Ovis aries: one gene and its partners. The protein of the gene in region 2 interacts with the protein of the main gene of each other region in a pairwise test. Links are inferred from orthologs where the notes say so. Each region holds a gene or a part of one and is shown on either strand. Other genes may lie near its edges. The genes, in order: NDUFAF3, SNRPA, TRIR, QKI, LENG8 and RBM42.

The links.
Region 1: the proteins of SNRPA (region 2) and NDUFAF3 interact in binary tests that used the Homo sapiens proteins (3 or more experiments, as listed by UniProt). The two-hybrid records come from large-scale screens. The link is inferred for Ovis aries from reciprocal best matches to the Homo sapiens genes SNRPA and NDUFAF3.
Region 3: the proteins of SNRPA (region 2) and TRIR interact in binary tests that used the Homo sapiens proteins (3 or more experiments, as listed by UniProt). The link is inferred for Ovis aries from reciprocal best matches to the Homo sapiens genes SNRPA and TRIR.
Region 4: the proteins of SNRPA (region 2) and QKI interact in binary tests that used the Homo sapiens proteins (3 or more experiments, as listed by UniProt). The link is inferred for Ovis aries from reciprocal best matches to the Homo sapiens genes SNRPA and QKI.
Region 5: the proteins of SNRPA (region 2) and LENG8 interact in binary tests that used the Homo sapiens proteins (3 or more experiments, as listed by UniProt). The two-hybrid records come from large-scale screens. The link is inferred for Ovis aries from reciprocal best matches to the Homo sapiens genes SNRPA and LENG8.
Region 6: the proteins of SNRPA (region 2) and RBM42 interact in a two-hybrid assay, tested with the Homo sapiens proteins (2 studies listed by BioGRID and IntAct). The link is inferred for Ovis aries from reciprocal best matches to the Homo sapiens genes SNRPA and RBM42.

What each region holds. Positions count from the first base shown.
Region 1 is NC_056072.1:51,014,007-51,016,866, reverse strand, and holds NDUFAF3 (NADH dehydrogenase [ubiquinone] 1 alpha subcomplex assembly factor 3), read left to right. Parts: upstream 1-1,235; 5' UTR 1,236-1,260; coding exon 1,261-1,337; intron 1,338-1,415; coding exon 1,416-1,608; intron 1,609-1,766; coding exon 1,767-1,833; intron 1,834-1,926; coding exon 1,927-2,027; intron 2,028-2,105; coding exon 2,106-2,222; 3' UTR 2,223-2,360; downstream 2,361-2,860. UniProt on the Homo sapiens protein: Essential factor for the assembly of mitochondrial NADH:ubiquinone oxidoreductase complex (complex I).
Region 2 is NC_056067.1:49,429,449-49,433,736, reverse strand, and holds the start of SNRPA (U1 small nuclear ribonucleoprotein A), read right to left. Parts: upstream 2,801-4,288; coding exon 2,728-2,800; intron 1-2,727. UniProt on the Homo sapiens protein: Component of the spliceosomal U1 snRNP, which is essential for recognition of the pre-mRNA 5' splice-site and the subsequent assembly of the spliceosome. U1 snRNP is the first snRNP to interact with pre-mRNA.
Region 3 is NC_056058.1:11,080,600-11,084,806, reverse strand, and holds the start of TRIR (telomerase RNA component interacting RNase), read right to left. Parts: upstream 2,801-4,207; 5' UTR 2,795-2,800; coding exon 2,441-2,794; intron 552-2,440; coding exon 474-551; intron 189-473; coding exon 81-188; 3' UTR 1-80. UniProt on the Homo sapiens protein: Exoribonuclease that is part of the telomerase RNA 3' end processing complex and which has the ability to cleave all four unpaired RNA nucleotides from the 5' end or 3' end with higher efficiency for purine bases.
Region 4 is NC_056061.1:86,677,227-86,680,726, reverse strand, and holds part of QKI (KH domain-containing RNA-binding protein QKI), read right to left. Parts: intron 627-3,500; coding exon 483-626; intron 1-482. UniProt on the Homo sapiens protein: RNA reader protein, which recognizes and binds specific RNAs, thereby regulating RNA metabolic processes, such as pre-mRNA splicing, circular RNA (circRNA) formation, mRNA export, mRNA stability and/or translation.
Region 5 is NC_056067.1:63,813,778-63,817,277, reverse strand, and holds the end of LENG8 (leukocyte receptor cluster member 8), read right to left. Parts: coding exon 3,433-3,500; intron 3,344-3,432; coding exon 3,275-3,343; intron 3,167-3,274; coding exon 3,037-3,166; intron 2,962-3,036; coding exon 2,093-2,961; 3' UTR 1,295-2,092; coding exon of another isoform or gene 1,132-1,294; 3' UTR 104-1,131; downstream 1-103. Other genes in the region: LENG9 (leukocyte receptor cluster member 9), read left to right, coding at 1-65.
Region 6 is NC_056067.1:45,665,728-45,668,556, reverse strand, and holds the end of RBM42 (RNA-binding protein 42), read right to left. Parts: intron 1,019-2,829; coding exon 824-1,018; intron 745-823; coding exon 632-744; 3' UTR 501-631; downstream 1-500. UniProt on the Homo sapiens protein: Binds (via the RRM domain) to the 3'-untranslated region (UTR) of CDKN1A mRNA.

The DNA of each region.
Region 1 (2,860 bases), on a different chromosome or scaffold from region 2:
GCCGCTCACCTAGGCCCCCAAACAACAGGTGTGGTGGGGGGCCTTCCCTCGGACCAGGTCTCGATTCGGATTAGATCCGCAGGGTACAGTTAGCCATGTTGGTCCCATGCCGTCAGGGCCCACTGTAGTGACGGCGGTGGGTCGGGCGTCGGGATCAGGCCAAGAGGGAAGCGCGCCCGTGGGGTCGGAGAGGAAGTAAACCCTCCTCGGGGACTCCCCCGCACCCAGGGCCCTTTGTCCGGTGACGCTGCCAGTACCCGGAGCGCTAGACGCCCAGTGGGCCCGAACTGCAGCGCCAGGAATCCCGGAAACCCACTGCGACCGTCCTCGGTTGTGCCGAGCCTCCCGCCTGCCCGGCCCTGCGGGTAGGAGATGCGGCAACGTGCCCCTAAGGCCAAAACACTGTGGTCGCGCGGAGATGCTGGAACCTGCGCGGGTGCCAGCGATTCTCACGCCAGTAGGCCTTCTGATTCGGCTCAAAACGCAGGTCACGGGATTCTCGGAGCGCGAGCGAAGTGCGCGACAACAGGGCGAGGCTCCAGCCGCTGTCTACTTCACCATCCGGTCCGGTCTGGCCCGGTAGTCGCAACGACCAGCTTGAAGTTCCCCACCAACGCGTCCCCTTCCGCTTGCTCCGGCTGCAGCGTTGGAGCCATTTTAAGGCGAAACCCCCAGCCACACCCCCTCGGGCTCCGGAGAGGCCAATCCAGGCGCAGCCACGCCCCGTGCGACTCGCGGCCGCGACGCCAACGGTCGCGCGGGTGACGGTTAGGGAGGGGCGGGACTCGGGGGGCGAGCGACGGAAACCTGAGCTGCCCGCCCCGCCCTCGGAACCCGAAGCTCTAAAGCCGGGATTAGAGGCTGGGGGGTTGTGGGCGGGCGCCACGCCCAGGCCAGGTGTGCGCGACTCCAACAGGTGCTCGGCCGCCCTCCCCCGGCCCTGGGAGCCCAGCGTAATGGCTGAGAGCTGGGGGCCAGGCAGTGCCCTGCGGCCGGCCGCGCCTCCAGGTGTCCGGCTCTCCCAGGGCGGCCTGCGGGCGCCCGGGGCGGGGAGGATGGCAGGTGCTGACACCGGAGCCGCGCTGGGGGACGCGGCCCCCTGGGACGGAGGCCCCTGGCCCGCTCCCTCCCTTCTCCCGCGCTGGGCCGGCCGAGCCGCGCGGTGTCCTCCGCGACGCTGGGGGCGCTAGAGCCGCGCTGGGCTGGGGGACGCCGCGACCCCGTTGACCCTGCGCCAGCCTCCCTGCGCGCCGGTCCGCCATGGCCGCAGCGTTTGTGCTTCGGAACCTGTACCGCGCGCGACCTGCGCTTCGCTGTCCGCCCGCGGAGCTGCCATGGTGAGCCCGGACGCGGTGTCCCTGACCATCCGCCCCACGGCCGGCCATTCCCGGCCCCCTGACAGTACCTTTCTGCAGGGCCCCGCGGCGGGGACATCGGCTCACGCCGGCGGATGACGAGCTGTATCAACGGACGCGTATCTCACTACTGCAGCGCGAGTCCCCCCTCGCCATGTACATCGACAGCTACAGCAGCCGCGGCTTCGTGGTCAACGGGAATCGCGTGTTTGGACCCTGCGCGCTCCTCCCACAGTCGGTGGTGCAGTGGAACGTGAGCGCCTCCCTACAGTGAGGAAACCGAGAGCCGGAGTCACGGGCCTGCCTGTCCCTAGCAAACCTGGCATTTCTTTCATCCCACTCTGGAGCAGGTAGAGGGTTTCTGGGAACACCTACGTGGGCTTACATTTATCTTGCCCTCTCCCCACACAGGTAGGTTCCTACCAGGACATCACCGAGGAAAGCTTCTCTCTCTTTTGGATGCTGGAGCCCAGGATAGGTATTGATGGAGGGGAGGGCTGAAGTGCTGAGCCCAGAAAGGCACCCTCTCGACCGAGCTGCTTGTAGACTAGCCGAGCCTATCCTTTCCTAGAGATTGTTGTGGTGGGCACCGGAGACCGGACTGAGCGGCTGCAGCCCCACGTGCTGCGAGCCATGAGGCAGAGGGGCATCGCGGTGGAGGTGCAGGACACAGTACGTCCGGGACTGGGGGACTTGGAGGGGAGCCCAGGCCGAGCCCTGGGCCAGCTGACGCTAGCTTTCTCATTGCAGCCCAATGCCTGTGCCACTTTCAACTTCCTCTGTCATGAAGGCCGAGTGACAGGAGCTGCTCTCATTCCCCCACCTGGAGGGGCTGCACTCACATCTCAGGCCCAGTCTGCAGAATGAACCACCGAAACTTAACCTGACTTGTCCAGGAGGGCCTTGTCACCTTCTGCAGAATGCAGCGGTGCCCTGAGCTTTCACTAGCCCCTCCCCTTTCGCACTGTAAGATTTGTTTTGCTTACCAGCAAATTACTAATTTAAGCCCCTTGTCTGATTTTCTACTAGCTGTGTTGCTGGCCAGGAGCTGTTGTCTCAATGGGTTCTTGGAGGGGTTTGTGAAGGAACCAGAGGGTCATGGCTTGGCCTCTGAGAGGCCAGGGGGCAATATAGGCACCTGTTCTAAACTGTAGGTCTGTCTACTTGCTCACATACAGATTTGAGGGGACCTCTGTGCTTCCTCCAAATACGTGAAAAGTTAAAGTAGTCACTTGGTTGTGTCCAACTCTTTGTGACCCCATGGACTGCAGCCCACCAGGCTCCTCTGTCCATGGAATTCTCCAGGCAAGAATACTGGAGCGGGTTGTCATTTCCTTCTCCAGGGGATCTTCCCCACCCAGGGATAGAAACTGCATCTTCCACATTGCAGGCAGACTCTTTACCAACTAAGCCATCAGGGAAGGTTCAGAGTATGTGGGTCTAAACCTGGTCCCATGTGGCCGAACTTTGGGCTAGCAGGAGGTCCTGTGGATGCCAGTCCAAAA
Region 2 (4,288 bases):
CAACACTGGCCTCCCAGCCCTTTCTCAGGCTCGTCACAGCAACCTTGCCTCAGGACCTTTCCACTGACTGCTCCCTCTACTAGGAGCAACTTTCTCCTGATGTGTACATGGCTGCCTCCTTCCAGTCACCCAGGACTCAGCAGAGATGTTACCACCTGAGGCCTTCCCTGACCACCATGGTGAGAGACCCCTCATGTCACTCCTCTCACCGTGAGAACCTACTTGCTTTTCTTTCATGGCACTTCCCACCTCCTGACATCATGTTTGTTTCCTTTTTGTTTGGTCCTCTTTCTGAAGAGGTACAAGTCTATCCTATTTGTTTATCACAATATCCCCACAGGGAACTCCCTAGTGGTCCAGTGGTTAGAACTCTGTGCTCTTATTGACAAGGGTCCAGGTTCAATCCCTGGTCAGGGAACTAAAATCCCATAAGCCCCTTGCTAAGTCACTTCAGTCGTGTCGGACTCTGTGTGACCCTAGAGACGGCAGGCCCCCAGGCTCCCCCGTCCCTGGGATTCTCCAGGCAAGAACTGGAGCAGGTTGCCATTTCCTTCTCCAATGCAGGAAAGTGAAAAGTGAAAGTGAAGTCGCTCAGTCGTGTCCTGACTCTTAGCGACCCCATGGGCTGCAGCCTACCAGGCTCCTCCGTCCATGGGATTTTCCAGGCAAGAGTACTGGAGTGGAGTGTCATTGCCTTCTCCATAAGTCCCTTGGTGTGAGCCAAAAAAAAAAAAAAACCCCTAATGAACAGTATAGTTGCCAGCACACAAATCTCCAAATACATCTGCCTGAATAAACACATCATTAAATGATTTCTGGGAATAACTTCACTGAATTTTTACCTCTACTCCATGAGTGAGCAATTATAACTGCCCCAATTTTACTAATGTGGATAGAGGCTCTCAGAGGATCTGTCACTGACCGAGGACCCAAGTCCATCTGAACCCAGGACCACCAAACCTCCCTAGCAAATGGACAGCCAGGAAAGGGTACCCGTCTTATGCAAAGAAGGTACCTGAGCTTAAGACACCTGGCCGAAGAGACAGCAGGAAAGAAAAGGGGGGTCGGGTAAAGAGGGAAGCAAACGGCCAGAAATTCTGATGACAATTCTGAGATTTGTCTCCACTTGCCATCCCCGTGAACCCAGTGCGGGCCCGAGTCATTCCCCTGGGTGCTGAGCCTCTGCCCAGTCTCCTTTCTTGCCCACACAAGTTCACCCTCCACAGCTGGAAAGATCTTTCACAATTAACTGCATCCCTTGCCTGGCTCCCCAAAGCCCTCAGGATGAAGTAAAACACCCACCCAGACCTCAAGGCATCAGGAGCCAGAGTGCACTGCTTGCCTGAATGTTCTCCATGAAATCACCAGCCTCTAAGTCTCAGGCACCCAAAACTGCAGTACATGTGGTTCCCAGAATGCCCTAGACTCTCTTTTGCCCCTGGATATTTGCACATGCTGGTCCAGGTTAGTCACTCTTCTCCCTCATTGTAACACAGATGCTGCTTCCTCTCCCTGGTAGGCTTTCCCAAAATGTCTCCTGTTCTGTGAACCTGAATACCCTTTTCCAAGTGCCCAATCCCAGCCTTGACTACTATGCCTCAACTTCCCCCAATTATGGCCATGGCTACTCTGGGCTATCACTGTCTGGGAGCAGATCTGTCATCTCTACTAGACTGTGGTTCCATGAAGTCAGGACCAGGACTGTCTCAGTCACCACTGTGTCCACAGCTCCACAGAGAACTGGCTGGGCACAATGCTCTAACAGTATATGAGGGATTTACATGGCTTGTTTATTATCTTCAATAGCAACTTTATCAGTAACCTCAACTTAATGCCAGCAAGCTCCTTCAGTTCTCCTACCAGTTTTCTTGAGGAGATAATAAGAGCTAACACTTATATCCAACCCTTACTAACAGCTAGGCACCATAAAAAAAAAGGCATGGAAGTTTAGCTCATATATTCCCTATAACATCTGTGCACAGATTTTGCCCAGCTTTCCTATATATATAAAAACATGAAGTTCAATAAAAAGTGATAACTTGCTCAAGAAAAAAGAAAAGTATGTCATATCTAGAATCGAGTTCTTAACCAGAATTCCATATAGTGGTCTCAAGCACGTTTCCCTGCTGTATGCCTTGGGAGAATCACATCCCTGTGGAGTCTCAGTTTCTAATCTAAGAAATGGGAACAACAGGTCCTTCCTGCAGGATTGCTGTGAAAGTTAAATGCAACCATTATTTATAGATCAGCACCTGGTACCCAGTGTTACCCGCCATCACGGTTCATTTCACTTTATTTTGAAATGAAACGTTTTCACTGTGGATTATTCACTTGAGGCCATGACAGTGACCAACAGTTGCAGTTCTTACCCTCCTGGAGCTCAAAGGCCAGGAGAGAGACAGTCCCCTGACAGCCAGATCAGGACTTGGCTGGGGAGGTTCAGGGTTTTAGGAAGTCAGAGGCAAGCACGTGGGTGGAAAAGGGAAGGGGGAGGCATCCTGGAGGAGGGGCGTCTTGAAGCTGAAACCTTGAAAGACAAGCAAGTTACCAGATTACCGGGAAAAGTGTAGGAGAAAATGAGGAAATATCAAAAGCACTGCTTGTGCAAAGGCCGAACTTAAAAGGTTTGGCTGGAGAAGGCTGAGGAAGAGACATGGATGCTGGGGACAGAAGAGGGAGCAGGTTCGTGCGGGATAGCCTGGTGTCCGGACTATCCCGAAAACTCACCATCCTTCTTGATCTTCTCATTGAGATTGTTGATATAAATAGTGTGGTTGGGGCGGGTCTCGGGAACTGCCATGGAGTAAGTTGCTGAGGTAGGGCTGAAAGAATGAAAAAGTCCCACTCAGTCCTGGGTTTCTGAAAATCCTTTTGTCCCAACGCGGGCTACTAAAGGATCTTCCTTCCAAGAGAAAGTCAAGTAAGGTACAGAGGAGGAAAGAGGGAAGCACGGCTCGGAAAACAAAGCAAACGCAGCACACAGCTTCTCCTCCCCGCGTGGTGAGGGAAATCTCGTGAGGTTTACTACGAGTCCCAGGATGCTCTACTCGACTTAGTAGGCGGAGCGGCCTAGGTGGCGATTCCCACTGGCCCACGCGCTCAGAGACCCGCCCAGGAGAAATGGCCCGGCTGTAAGCGCCAGTTAAGGCCAGCGGGACGGCGTTGCCGAACCCTGGCCTCGAGCAGAAAAAAAATAGTTCCCACTACACGAGGCGCAGGAAAGCCCGGGCGTCAAGCGCTCCGCCGCCAGGCGCCTACGGCCGTTTGTGCCCAAGAATACTCACCGAAACAGGCTCAGCTCCCGCAAGCGATGCCTGCTACGCTGCTGAGCGCCGGCCACAAAACTTCCTCCTCTAGACCCGCCTTGTCTATCTACAAGCCAACCCCTGCGCAGAAACTTGGTAGCTTGGCCAATCAGAGTAAGGCTAGCTCCCGGACCCAGATTTTGCCAATAAAAACGGCAATTGGGTTCGCGCCTCAGCAGAAAAACTCCGCCCAGCCCCTGCAAACCCTTTTGCGGCGCACGCGACTAAGGACCAATCAGTGAAGGCCGCGCCCCCTCACGCGCCTCTTGCCAATCGGGACTCGGTTCTTGCGGCAGTCTCTTCCAAGGCCTTTCTTTCGCAGCCAGTCTCTGTCACGTGATCGTTAAAGGGGCGGGCTTGAGTTGCGAGTCTTACCGCGGGATTTGGGAAAGGCTGTACGCTGCGGCAGCCATTTTGCGGCAAGGGTAGGCGCGTTTTAGTGCCCGGCCCTGTTACCCCAGCCGTATGGGGGCTCCCAACGACCTCCAACCTGTGAGCCTTCTCCAGCCCACAAGACTTCCCGTTGCGCCCCGATTTCAGGACTTTCTCCACAACTAGGCTAATTTCCCTGCCAAGTGTCCTTTTGACCTCTGACTCAAAGGTCAGCTCTAAGGTTCCAAACTCCGGTCTGAGGTGCGAAGGGGGTAGGATCTCTTCTAAATTCTTCCAGTTTTTAGCCCAGGGGTCCTCAATCCCACGCTTTACGTGCCTTGCCCCAGGCCTGGGCTTTCGTGTCCCATAATTTCCTAACTTTCTAAACGAGCCCAGGATAAGAAGTTAACTCCTACTAAGCCTCTCTCTTTGAGCTCTGCATCCCAACTCTGTACCACAGATCTGTTTGCACATTAAAGGACCCCTTAACCCTCAGATTCTTTGTGATTTGCGTCAGCTTCAATCCCTGCTCCCAAGGTTACAGATTTTAGCCCTGTTTTTTTGCAGTCCCAACTTCAGCTCCCAGATCAGGAGTTCAGCTCTAAGACTGT
Region 3 (4,207 bases), on a different chromosome or scaffold from region 2:
AAGGCTGCCGCGCTGCCACTGCATTAAATAGTTATGTACATCGCAGAGAGTCCCAGGCCGTGGGCAGGCAGGGAGGGGGGTCATTTCACCAGGGGCCGCGTTTTATCATCATCACCGCACTGGTGGGCTTTGTACTTTTTCACCTCTGCCATGTACTTGGCCCATGCATCACCTTTACTTGTTAATACCTGTTGGGGGGGAGGAGGGATACACAGGGGGTTGGGAAGGGGATGCCAGGAACCAGGGTCAGGACTGTCCTGAGACAGCTGACCCACCCACAGCGTATTGGGTCTGAGACAAAGATAAGCAGAGGCAAGTTATCTAGGAGCTGGGTTGAAAGCCCTCCTCCCCCACCCAGTACATCCATCCAAGGGCCAGATACTGAAAAGGGAGGGATGGGGCACCTCGGCCAGGCGCTGAGGCTAGAAGGAAAAGGCAACAGAGGCAGTCCCTGCCACAACCGGTCTGCTCACCTCATCCTCCGTCTTCTGCTTCTTGGCTACTATTCCCGTCTTGAGGGCTAGTTTGTTCCCGCCTCTGCGCTTGCCCACCTGGGTGAAGGGACAGAAGACTGCAACGGTTACAGGAGCCGGGGCCCGCCCTTGGCGGTGCTGAGGCCCACTACACCTTCCTAGCCCGGCCCGGTGGCCCGTCCCGACGCCGCGCCCAGCTCCACCAGCCGGCCGACCTGCGCAGCAATCAGAGAGGAGCACACGCGACTCAGCACCTGCCCTGGGCCCATGATGCCCAAGCAGTCCTGGGCCCCCCAGCTGTCTTCCCAGGGAGAGAGAAGAATCCCCACATGAGGGGGATGAGCTCTGTCCTCACTATCCCCTAGTACAGACCACACAGGCAGCAACTGCTCCCTTTATTGAGCACTTACTGTATACTAAGCCCTGTGCCAAGTGGCTTTGGACGTATCATCTCCTTCAACTTTCAGTTACCTTAAGATGAAGGTCATAACCGTCCCCATTGGACAGATGAGGAAACACCTTTGAAAAGGAGAAGCCTGTCCCCTGGATCATGCTGACAGCAGACAGTGGAGCTAGATTCAGGGTCAGGTATGTTGAGTCCAGGGAGCAGCAATCTTAGCCACCGCCTGATGCTGTTCCCTGACACCTAACCTGGCCTGGCCTCTTTGAGGGCACTCCCGCAAATGCACCCCCCCCGCCCCGATGACCAAACGGAAAAGGCAGTGACAACTACTGCTACTCTCATTCACAGGGGGGCACTCGGCTGCCACCCAGTTCTCACACCAGCCCAGGCCCGGTCACTTCCCATTCTTCAAATGTAAGATTTAGCCTGAACTTTCCCGGTCCTCTATTTTCTCCCACGAACTGAGGGCTTCTTGTGCACCAAGGGCTGTGACAGGCTTTACAGACATCCTGTCCCTAGCCCTCAACCAGGTGTTAAGTGACCTGAGCTGCTGAGACTATTCTCACGCTTTTTTGACAGATGAAGAAACTTGACGCACCCCCACCCAAGTCCATTACTCTTAAGTCAACACTTTTTTTCTCCACACCACAGGAACTTGCTCTCAACACGAGACAAAGCCAGCTCAGGGTTGACAATCAATATAGGTGCCCTTTTTTTAGCCTAGAGTTTCTCAATCTTAGGCACTAATGACATTTTGAACAGGATCATGTTTGCTGGAGAGGGGGAGGAGAGAATTGTTCTGTTTCTGGATGTTGAGCAGCAGCTCTGCCCTCTGCTCATGAATGTCCGTCCTGATGACCACAGATGTCCCCAGACTTCGTCAAGTGTGGAGATGGGGTAGGTGGAAATCATCCCCAGTTGAGAACCATTGGTTTAGCCCTTCCTATAAGGCTTGCCCAATGGTAATCACATAAGAAGATGCCCATTTTTGCAAGCAGGGAAAATGAGGTTAGGCCATCTCAGATGCTCCGGGAGAGCAGTGATGCCTGTCATGTTCAGCACAGCATATCCATCACCTAGCACAGTGCCCAGCACAAGGTAAGGTGCTCAATAAATGGACACCGGACGAAGGAAAATCATGGAACTCAAGCAAATCTCCTAGGTCACACAGTAAGCAGTCTGAGTCTTTCATTCACACAGCTCAGACTCCAGACTTGAATATGACACCCATTCTCATAGTGGGAGATGGTCCCCAAATCCAAAGTTCGGGTGGGTACCACTCAAACAGGAATTCTAGTACCCTGGTCTCCCGATCCTCGGAACGCTGTTTCCAATGGAATCCCCCCCCCAGCTCCCAGTTCCTGCGGGCAGACTCCTGGGGTCCCCATCTCCGCCCCCAGACCTCTCTTGTAGGGAATCCAGGTTCTGAATCCTCAGCGGATGACCCAGACGGCCCCCTGATCGGAATCGGAGGGTGGACGTGGATCCCGATCCCCTTTCTCGGTCCCGATTCCCCAGGCCAAGGAAGACCCTGGCGCCCGCCCCCACCCCCGCGGCTCCTTACGAAGCTGAGCGTGGGGCCCGGACCGCCCTTCCTCTTCGGATCCCCGGGACCCGCGGCGGCAGCGGTGGCTGGCTGATCGGGTCGCTGCGGGCCCGGGGGCGGCTCCTCCTGCCGCTGCCGCTGCTCCTCCTCCATCTTCCGCTTGAACAGCTCCAGGAAGCTGCCGTCGTTGGCGAACAAGTTCACGCCGCCCGACACTGGGCTCGAACCCGCGCCCGACACTTCATCATCGCCGCTCTCGGGCGACGTCCCGGGCCCGGACTCAGCCCATCGGCTTCCGCCGCCGCCGCCGCCACCCGCAGGGCCCGGCGCCTCCCGACCAGGAGGCTCCGCCCGTCTCCCTCGGGCAGCCATTTTGTCACCAGGTGCCGCGCAAAGGACTCCGGGAAGGCCGCTCCCGGCCCCGCGCTTGGCGCCCGAGAAGCCTGGTCCCGGGCAATGCATGCCGGGAAGACCAGTCTGGTGCTTAGACGACCGCAGTGGGGGCGGGGCATGAGGGGCGGGGCGAATGAGGAATAAGGCCTGACGCTGCGCGCCCTCAACCAGCTGCCCCGGCCCGCCCTGCCGGGTCCGGCGGAACATCATAACCCTGCTAGGCTCCTGCTGGCGTTACGCAAAGATGGTCTCTTCCGGAATGAGACTATTGTTTGGTTCTGAGTGTGTAGCTGGCTCTCGGAGTGCGGTTCCCGCGTGGGACTCGGTGGTGTACTAGCTTTTCGGGGCTAGAATCTCCTTCTGACACCAGGGATAATCTCAGTGAGGGGAGAGACGTTGCTTGGCTGTGTGCTCAGCTGATAACCTCGGAACCTGGGTCCCTAACTAAAACTAGCCAGAGGGCATATCTAGCCTGGTCCCCGAGAACAGAAATGGGGGTGTCTCTGGATTAGGTACCTATCTCTGGGATGGAGCTTTCATTTGGAAATAGAGACACAGCTCACTCCAAGGAGCTGAGAGGTTCATATCTGCAAATCAAGGTATTACTTTATGTGCTGCTGCTGCTAAGTCGCTTCAGTTGTGTCCGACTCTGTGCGACCGCATAGACGGAAGCCCACCAGTCTCCCCCATCCCTGAGATTCTCCACGCAAGAACACTGGAGTGGGTTGCCATTTCCTTCTCCAATGCATGAAAGTGAAAAGTGATTGTGAAGTTCTTTATGTGCTAGAGTACCGAAATGAAGCCACGGATAGTTCTAGGTTGGAGCCTCCAACTAAGGTATAGTGTCCTCAAAAGGGCCTGCGACCAAGCATGTATTCCTGCCCAGGGCAGAGTTTCAAACAGAATTGGCTGAACTGAAGTTTCCCTTCGAACCTGGGGTAAAGTGGAAGCAGGTTTTGGGGAATCGGGTGCCTTCTACAACAAGGATGCAAGCCCGCAAAGGAGCTCAGGGCTCACTGGACAAGGATCTGCGGACCTCGCCCCCAACTGGAGTAATTCTCTCTCTAACCCACTCGCAGCGCCGAAACTGTCTCCAGCAAACTAATCGGTTCGTCTGTGATTGGTTTGCGTCAGGAGCCCGATGGCTCCCAGCCAATTGAATAACAGAAGAGACGGACCTGAGGGGTGCTGGGACCTAGTTCGGAGAATAGGGGCGGGAAATGATCGACAAGAAGTTGAGCCTATGGAGTCAGGTCAGGGTGGACCTCGGAACTAACTTCTTGAAAAGGGTATGGAATGGGTGTTTGGTCGGTTGCTAAGGGAAGGTTGGTGCTACCGGGACGTGAGAGTGATTGGTGAAAGTAAGAAAAGATGTAGCCAATGAGAGGAGTG
Region 4 (3,500 bases), on a different chromosome or scaffold from region 2:
CCCACGGAATCCATAGGCAACACAAATAATGCACTCCTACTAACACAGACCACCCAACAGAAGTATTAACTTGTACAGACTTCGTGTACACTTGCTTCTTGTTTGCAATGAGAAACTGATCTAAAAGAGAGACAAAGCTTTCACCAGCCCTACCTGATGATGGACCTACATTTTCACCCTGTAACAGAGTGATGCAAAGGCAGCCACACTTTTGAAAAACAGGCCACTGATTCGGTTTGCTCCATTCACATTTCCTTCACAAAAAAATAAACAGGTAGCAGACTTTCCCATTTAAGAAATGTAGCAGTGTCTGTCTCTTATTCTATAGCAAATGACTTATACATTTTTTTTATATTTTGTGCTTAAATAAAATTCTGAACAAATAATAACCTATTCTTTATTAACATAAACATTGTAATAATTTAAAAATTAACTGAAAAAGATCTTGGGCCTAAATCTAAGATTTGGAAATTATTACTTACTGCAGGTACCAGTAATTTCTTCACTTCCTCAACGGCTCTCTTCAGTTTGATCTCTGCTCTGTTTTGAGCATCTTCCACAGTGATCAGTACATGTAAATCTTCATTGAGATGCTCCCAATTAGGCTTGCCTCGATTTTGCTCCTCCTAAAAAATTCACAAAGCACACGATTACAAAATTTTCTTTTCAAAGAGACAGCACATCTTTCCATCCATAATAATGACCTGCTGCAATCATTAAGCTATGCTTGCATGGTTTTGCTATGAGTAAATGAAAGGTCACTGAGGTAAATTTAGGCAAGTTCACCTGACAAGGCCATGTGGCTAGTAACTTGCCAAATTTAGGAACTGAATCAACATCTTCATTCTCAAATTCAGCGGTTTTCCCATTTTGTTGCAACTGCTTTTAGTAACACTGGCTGAATTTAAGAACAGGAAAAGTATTTTGCCAACAGACATTACTGTGTAGACAAATGCCATTTGTTTTAAGCATTTCAAGTAGTGATTATGGAACCATTTCATTATAAAATAATAACAAGGAATAAATGTGATGATACTTTTAACTGTAGTTCTATCAGACCTTACTTTAAAAACAGTGAGCTGTACAGTCACTCTTTTAACTATACCATCATAAACACTAGTTTTAGCAGAGAACATCTATATTTCATTTCCCCGGTGTCTTCAGATGACCGAGTGATCCCCAGGTGGAAAACACTGTCAAGCTACAGGAAAGATTGGCCGTATTTCCCTTTCAGCTAAAATATAATCATTTCAGAATTGCTTCTTGCCTTAAGCTTTAGAGATAATATACAAATATATTTGTAAGTATTTCATAAATATAACTTTATTAATTAAAAACAATAACAACGTGAATATCAAAATGGTATAAATGAATGCATATGGTTCAGTGCAATGTACCACACACAGACAATGAACAATACCTTTTTTGAAGTCTCATCTTTAAGTATTCTATTTACTGACTTGGGAATACTATTTACTGAATTCTTCCAATCAAAGAAAAATAAACTGTTTATTAAAACAAACAGTTTTCTACCATAACTCACATGTTTGCAGAGGCCATGCCAGGGAAAAGAAATATATGCAACTCAAGACAATAAGGATAAAAATGAGTTCTTAAAAGTTTATGCTTCTCTTTATTTTCTATTACTATTGTTGCGTGTGAAAACGCACCCAAGTGTTGTGAGGGGAAATGGAAAACCAAGCAAAGCACACCAGCCTGTGGTCGGCCCCCTGTGTGCCCCCAAGGAGTGAATTCAAGGAGACAGTGCAGCTCGCTCACCAAGCACCGAGAGTACTCAGGGCTTCAAGGGGAATAGCAAGAGTTGATGTCTGTCAGACACCACGCAACCTGTGAGTTTACAATATTTGTCTTTATCAATATTAGACCATGCTACATTCCTTTTGATGATGTCTTGTCTTTGCAATGCTAAGTTTTTAGTGGTTGCTGTAATAAAAAGCCATGCCCATGCAAAATCAGTGTGGAACAGGAAGAGGGTGGGAGTGTCCAGTTTGAGAATCTGAACAGTATCCAAGAGGAAAACAAATACAATAATAAATAATGTGGTTGTTTACAAATAGAATTTAAACAAAAATTTCAATTTAAGTTGTTTTGCTAAACTAAGCTGTTTGGAAGTAACCATTTAAAAATGGGAAGAAAAACTCCAGCGTTTCTTTTTGCCAAGGGGACACCATGAAAAACTGAGAGACTCAAGGAGTTAGTGAGTCAAGGGACTGGGCACCTCGCGGCTATCCGTGTGCCAAATACAAAGTGTGCAGACATACCTCTACTGTAACAATAAAAAGCAATTTTAAAATCCAGAGTTTAATTTTTATGTTGTAAAACACTGACAATATCGTCTCACTGAAATTTATATCTGATCAATTTTTTCAACTTTTCATAGAAGTTTTTATAGAAGTGATCAAGTTCTGTGTGTTTATGTTTTAATGAACCTAAAAGTATCTCCACATCCATACAAATGAGGAATGTCTGCTTTGGGCCAAGATAAAGTAACATCAACAAGATTCACTCTCATGTCTAAAAACAACCCAAGAGCAGGAGGATAGTGAGGTTGAGGATGGGAAGCCAAGGCAGGAAGTCCCACGATTGTCCAGGCTTCCTGGCCTGGGAAGTTCGAGGCTGCAGCCCTGGGAAGGGTGCCAGCCTGCCTCTCTGAGTGGAGAAGACTAACCTCTGAGACCCGGGAGGGCACAGCAGCTAGAGCTCACCTAAACCAGTACTGGAAAAAGGAGCTGCACAGAGAGTGGGGGCCTCCCTAGTGGCACAGACAGTAAAGAGTCTGCCTGCAACGCGGGAGACCTGGATTCGATCCCTGGGTTGGGAAGATGCCCTGGAGAAGGGAACGGCTACCCACTCCAGGATTCTGGGCCTGGAAAGTACCATAAACAGAGGAGCCTGGCAGGCTAAAGTCCATGGGGTCACAAACAGTTGGACACGACTGAGCGACTTTCACTTCACTTTGAGAGTGGAGATCTGCACAAGTATTCAACTGAACACTGCTCAGCACATATGTGGGAGGAAATACCAGAGACCAGAAAAAGAACCAATCAAAGGATTCAAGGTAGAAAACTTTATGATACACAAGACACTGGGACAAGTACACAGAGGTCTTGCCTCAGGAGTGGAAAATAATCAGTCAGCTGTCTGAGCAGTACCGTGCCAGCAGTGCCTAAATAAATACTCAAAGCAAGACCTAAAAGGATCCAACTGTCTCCAATTTAACTGTGTCCTAGAACAAAGTCCAAAAACAGGTATAGGAATATGAAATATCCACCCAACAAGGTAAAATCCACACTGTGTGAGCTTAGTCACTCAGTTGTGTCCAATTCTCTTGTGACTTCATCGACTATAGCCCGCCCAGCTCCTCCGTCCATGGGATTCTCCAGGCAAGATCACTGGGGTGGGTTGCTTTCCTTCTCCAGGGGACCTCCTTGACCCAGAGATTGAACCTGCATCTCCTATGGCTCCTGCATTGGCAGGCG
Region 5 (3,500 bases), about 14 Mb from region 2:
GCAGGGCCGGGGCCACCTACCAGGCGGTGGCCGAGCTCCCCCTGGGAGGTCAACCTCTAAAATAAGGACCGGGCCCCAGACAAGGACAAAGCGCGCACGCGGCTTCTCTCTCTCTCTCTTTAATTTTGGTTTCTCTCAAGCTTCCAAGTGGTGCTCAGTGCTCCAAGGAAAGAATGAAGGAAGGAAAGGGGAGGGGAGAAGGGGGAGCGGGGAGGCAGAGGAGGACATCTGAAGAGAAGCAGCCTGACAGTCCAGCTGTTTGCAACTCAGCGCACCCTCCAGTTACATGGCAGAAGAGGGCGGGAGACGGAAAAGAAAAGGGGAGGAAGAAAAATAACTTAAATAAACACACACACAAAGAAAAGAGAAGGAAACATGACGTGAGCTGGTGATCCATGAGGCGGGGAGGGAGGGTAACCGCTTTACCTGTGCTGAACCGAGGGAAGAATGCGAGGAGGGGGAGGACGGGGCAGGGGAGACACGGGGGAGGGGGACACGGAGACAACTCAATACAACTGCAGACGAGGCGGCCCGGCCGGCGAGGTCCCGCGGCGGCCTCCGGAATCCTCAGTGTGGCGGTGGTGTGGCGGGTGGCGGCGGCGGCGGCTTCTGGGCTCGGGGGCCGAGGGCAGGGCACAGTCTCTAGGCGGCTCCCCTCGCCCCAAACACTGAGGCCCCGGAGGGCTGGCAACAAGAGTCTGTGGAGCAGCAGGCGGGAGGCGGGCGGTGGGCGTGCCCCCGCCGTGGGCGGGCGCGGGCGGAGCGGCCTGTCTTCTTGCCCTGCCCCCCGGCATGGGACGGGCCAGGGTGCTGGGTCGGTACCGGAGTACGAGCTCGAGAGAGAGAGAGAAAAAACACTGAGACAGCATTAGTGGAGGGCCAGACAGACAGACCAGCCTATAGACCGCGCCCCCGGCCCTACGCTGCCCGTCCCCCTCTTCCCCAGCCCGACCCTCTCAGGCCAAAAATAAAAACGTAGAAAAATCTCTGTACAGACTCCCCGGTGGGAAAACGGGGGCAGGGACGAGGGCTCTTCCTGGAGCCCTCTCCCCACGAATTAATTTACACCCCAAGTCCATGGCTCAAAGACAAGATCTGCAGCCCAGCCCCCCGCCCCCGCGGCGCTGGTGCTCAGAAGGCCGGCAGCTGCGCCAGGCTGAGGCGGCAGTCGATGCTGGAGTTGTCCGGGCCCGTGTAGGCCAGGCCCAGGGGCTCCAAGAAGGCCCGGCAGGCGGCCTCGCCCTCGAAGGCCAGCTCGGCCTGCAGGTAGGAGACGGGCAGCGCTGGGCGGAAGCTACGGAGACAAGAGGAGAAGGTGATGAGGCGGCGGTAGACGCGGGAAGGCCCCACGGGCAGGGAGGGGGCGCCCCCGTTCGGGCGCCCGAGAGGCTTCCTCAGCGCATTAGCTGCCAGCCCCGCTCCCACCCGCAGCCTCCCCACCTCAGCGGCTCAGGGGGGCCCGGGGTGGGGTCGGACCCCGGCCCCGGCTGCGCCCCCCTTCGCCCTCACTTACCTGAGCAGGGGACAGGAGGAGGGGATGGGAGGGAAGGGCCAGCTGGCTCCTCTGCTGGCTGGGTGCCTGCGCAGACCCTCACAAGAGGGCCCACCGAGGCCGGGGGGGCCGGGGATCGATGCAAGGGGCGGGGGCTGGAGGGGGCTGATCCTATCTGGGGACCACCCCTCCTGCTTGCCTCGCCCTGGTCAGAGGAGGCTGAGCACCCAGCTAAGAGGAGGTGGGCCGGTGCCGGCCAGCAGCTCTGTGCGTGCGCCCTCCCAGCAGCGGGCCCACCCAGCTGTACGCACCCAGGAGCAGGGCTCCAGGGGCACAGCCACTGAGCTCACACTAGTGGGGGACACGGGACCCCTCTTGCCTCGAACCCTGGCCGTCTGTGGGACTGGCCCTGGGACAGGGGGCAGTTTCTGCTGAAGACGCGGGCCCCTTCAGACACAGGCCCCTCGGCGCTCTGGGCAGGAAGCAGCCCGCGCCCTGCCCTGTCTGCTGAGCCCGCCTCACTGCCTGTCTTTCCACAGCCCTGCCCTCTACCTCACCCTTAAACGTTCTCACCCCACACTGGAGCCCACAAGGAGCCTCCTAACCCTCCTGGGTGGGTGTCCACCCCCACCCAGACCGCGCCCCGTGGCTCCCAAGGCCCCTGGGACCTCTGAGCAGTGCTCGGCAGCCTGTCACCTCAGGAGGTGGCCCCGGCGGAGGCGACCCGGGCACCGTGGGACGCTCAGCACATCCCCAGCCTCTGGCCCTAGAAGCCGGGACGACTCCGGCCGTGACAAAAGGGGTGTCCTTAGCCCACCTGGCGCGCCTCCCTCCTAACAGATGCGAACACACCGTTGCCCGGGGCAGAGGGCACCCTCTTTGGGGGCTGTCGGCCTCGCTTGCCTGCACGGCCCTAAACTCATCTGAGCCCTCACGAGGGCGCAAGGCCCGGTCGCTGAGCCCACAGCTGCTGAGGGCGGGGCCGGCTCTGCGGGCTGCCCCACGGGGGCGCTCAGCCTCTGGGCGTGGTTCGGCCTCGAGGGTCGGGGAAGCGGGAGGCTTTGGATGAAGGGGGCCTGGACAAGGGGATGATGTGGGAGGGGGGGGTTCCAGGCTGCCACGAGCAGAGAGCAGCAGGAGAGAGGGGAGGGGCGGGGGGCTGTGCAGAGAAGGGCGGGTCCAGATGAGGACGAGCGCACAGGTAGGGGGAGGAGACAGGGCGGCCCGCGGCCTGGGCGGGGTGGAGCTCAGCTTTACATACGTTTTGATCATTGCCTTGAGCGCAGCCTTGCGCTCCCGGTCTGCAAACTTGTCCACGAGGTAGCCAGACATGCAGGGAGCGTGAGAGTAGAGCCGGAAGAAGCGGTGGTAGTTGCCCAGAGCCCAGGCGGCCCTGAGCGCCAGGGCGTGGGCCACGCAAGGGTCCGCCTTCAGCTCCCGAGTCAGGTACGCCAGCTCTGTGGTGATGTCTGCGGCCAGAGACTCGGGGTCAGGGGGCTCGGGGGGCCGCGTCAGGGGCCCAGGGCCGCGGTCCTGCACCTCACCTCCCGAGTTCTTGGTGAAGATGTAATAGAGGATACGGTAGGCGGTGAACTCGCCCACGTTGCCCGGCAGGTTCTCGGCGTACAGCGACTTGAGCTGCGTCTGGCACTGGTTGAACTCTTCATGGTCCCCCTGGAGGGCAGAGCGTGAGGGGGCAGAGTGAGGCCCACACGGCTGGGTGGGGGGACGGCTGAAAGCCTGGGGTGGGGTGGGGTGGGGCGGGGCCCTGCCTGCCCTCACCTTCTCCAAGGCGATGCGCGCGTGCGTCTCGTACACCTCCACTGTGAACTCGGTGCGCACACCCTGCACCTGGTGGGAGGACAGCGGCTGTCACAGCAGAGCCGGCCTCCCCGATCGGCCCTGCCCCGGCCCCGGCCCCTCGCTGGCGCCCGCCTCACCGTGAGGTCCTGCCGGATGGACTTCATCTGCTCGCAGGCGAAGGCGTAGTCCTGCTTCTCCTTCCAGT
Region 6 (2,829 bases), about 3.8 Mb from region 2:
TGGCCAGTGCCTTCAGGAAGCCGCCTTGGACTCCTCGGGATGGTTCCCCATCCCAACCCTGCTAACTCTCATTGTCTGGCAATGGCTCTCTGCCACTGAACCATTAGCTAGGAACACTGTTACCACGGTATCCACACACTGTCCAGGTCCTTGATGAAAATGGATGAATGAATGAAAGCCTGGAAAGCTCTGAGCTCCAGAAGGGCAGGGCCCAGAGGACCCACTACCTTGGTGCTGAGAACACAGGGTGGAATCAGAAGACCACTGGGGTGAGCCTCCACTTGGCTTTGACCTTGCGCTAAGACTCTACTTCCTCCTCTGAGGAATGGGCTGCACTCAGTATACACTTAAAGAGGTTTCAAGAAGATCTAACGGGCAGGTAGCAGCGTTGAAAACACCCATCTGCATGTTTATGTAAACTTTCAAGGCTCCCCACTGTCTCCAGAGTGGGGGATGCTAAGCCCGGCTCTCCAAAGAGTGCTTCCAAGCCTAGCCAAGGATGGAAATGAACGTAAATTTATTGAAACTGGTGTTGGGGAGGATGGCTGGGTAGACAGTTGAGGGTTTTCCAAAGAACTGTGGGGAGGAACCAGCGCCCGGCCGGATGGGAGCGGGTGCCTGGCCACAGACCCTATCTCAGGCCCAATTTCTTCTTCTCCTTCTGCTTCTTGCGCACCACGTCCAGGTTCCGGTCCTTCCACATGCTCTTGCGCAGCTTGATGGGGCGTGAGCCCACATACTTCCCTGTGGGAAGAGAGGGTTCAAGGTCAGGCTCAGACCAGATGTCTGCCATGCCCAATGACCCTAGGGAGACCGCACTCACCATTCATCTCACGCATGGCACGCACATAGTCACTGGGGTCCTTAAAGCTGACGAAGCCATAACCCTTGGTCTTGCCTGTGCGCTTGTCACGGATCACCTTAGCCTTAAGGAAGGATGGGAAGCGGCTGAAGGCTCGGGCCAAGATGTCATCATTCACTTCGTTGCCCAGGTCCCCACAGAAGATCCGGAAGTCATCTGGGGTTGGGAGAGGGAAGATCAGAGGATACACATGTGTGGCCCAGGGTCTGTCTTACTGAAATGATCCCACCTTCTCTGGGAGCATCCCCCAAGCCCTCTTCCCTCTGTATCCCAGCAGTCTCGACCTGAGGTCCTCTTAGTTATAACAGCCAACACCTGGATAGTATATACCCTGTGCTAGACTCTCTGAAATAGCACCCCACTCCAGTACTCTTGCCTGGAAAATCCCATGGGTGGAGGAGCCTGGTAGGCTGCAGACCCTGGGGTCGCTGAGCGATTTCACTTTCACTTTTCACTTTCATGCACTGGAGAAGGAAATGGTAACCCACTCCAGTGTTCTTGCCTGGAGAATCCCAGGGACGGGGGAGCCTGGTGGGCTGCCGTCTATGGGGTCGCACAGAGTTGGACACGACTGAAGTGACTTAGCAGCAGACTCTCTGCAAAGCATCCATAAAGTTTTCACATACCTGGCATTCCCAACAGCCCTATACGCCAAGGCACAGAGAGGTCAAGTCACCTGCCCAAAGTTAATCAGCAAGCAGCAGAGCTAGGACAAGAACTCAGGCATCTATCTGGCTCGAGAGCCTTCACTTTCAACTAACGGCACTGCCCTGCCCCACCCCAGGGCCACCTCACCCACTCCGGTGATGAAGCCCCTACCTTTGTCATCACAGCCCTGGCCTGTCCTCTGAGCCCCCAGCATCCTTTGGCCTCCTGAACACCTCTCCATGGACACTCCCTGGGCCCCTGACACCCACTGGTTCCCATAATGGCACCCCAGGACCGCAGACTTCATCCTCAGCTCTGCCTCCTCTGCAAAGCCCACTCTGATCCCGTTTGAGTCCCTGAAACCTGAACACACTGCCTCATTCTTCTCCAAGGTCAACTTCAGCTGCCATTTTTGGATAAACCTCCTGGGCTGAGCCTGGTCTTGACCAAATGTGCTCAAGCTCAAAGAATCCCTTCCCCCACGAGTATATACTATTACTATCTCCTTGCTGGAAAACAAGGCGTGAAAGGCGGAGTGACGTGTCCAAGGTCACAGAATTAGGGTCTACCGCCTAGCCACCTCTGGGCCAGTGCTGTAAAGGAGTGGGGTGGGACTTAGGCTCCTTTCCTTAGCTACCACTGTGGTTGCCTCATAGCTTTGGTGGTGACTGAGGGCACTCTTGAACAAGTTAGGTCACCCCAGGCAGAAGTAATCTGACAAACTTAAGAGGGTAGGACCGTCCATAAACCAACTGATCTGAACATTTCAAAAGACTATTATAAGTGAGACAAAGCAGCGAGAGGGAGACAATTCTCTTTAAAAGATAATCTAGTGGCACAAAACTGCATGCCTCCTGGTTTAGGGGAAAAACAGCTAAAAGGAAACAGTTTGGAGACAACTGGGAAAATCACAATATAAACAGAATATGAGATAACACAGTTACTGTTAATTGTCTTAGATGTGTTAACCATGTAATGATATGAAAGAAAATATTACTTTTCTTAGGAGATGAATACTAAGGTATTTAGGAGTGAAGTGATAACCTCATTTATAATTTACTTCACATGATTGAGCAAAAACCAAAAAATGATAAACATGGAGGGTTACAGTGAAGATACCAAAATGTTAATTGCTGAATCTAGGTGGTTGATATATAGTTAACTGTGCAAAATTTAAAATTTTGTGAGAAATTTTGATTATATTTGATTATATTCTTTGCAGCCAAAGATGAAGAAGCTCTATACAGTCAACAAAAACAAGACCAGGAGCTGACTGTGGCTCAGATCATGAACTCCTTATTACCAAATTCAGACTTAAA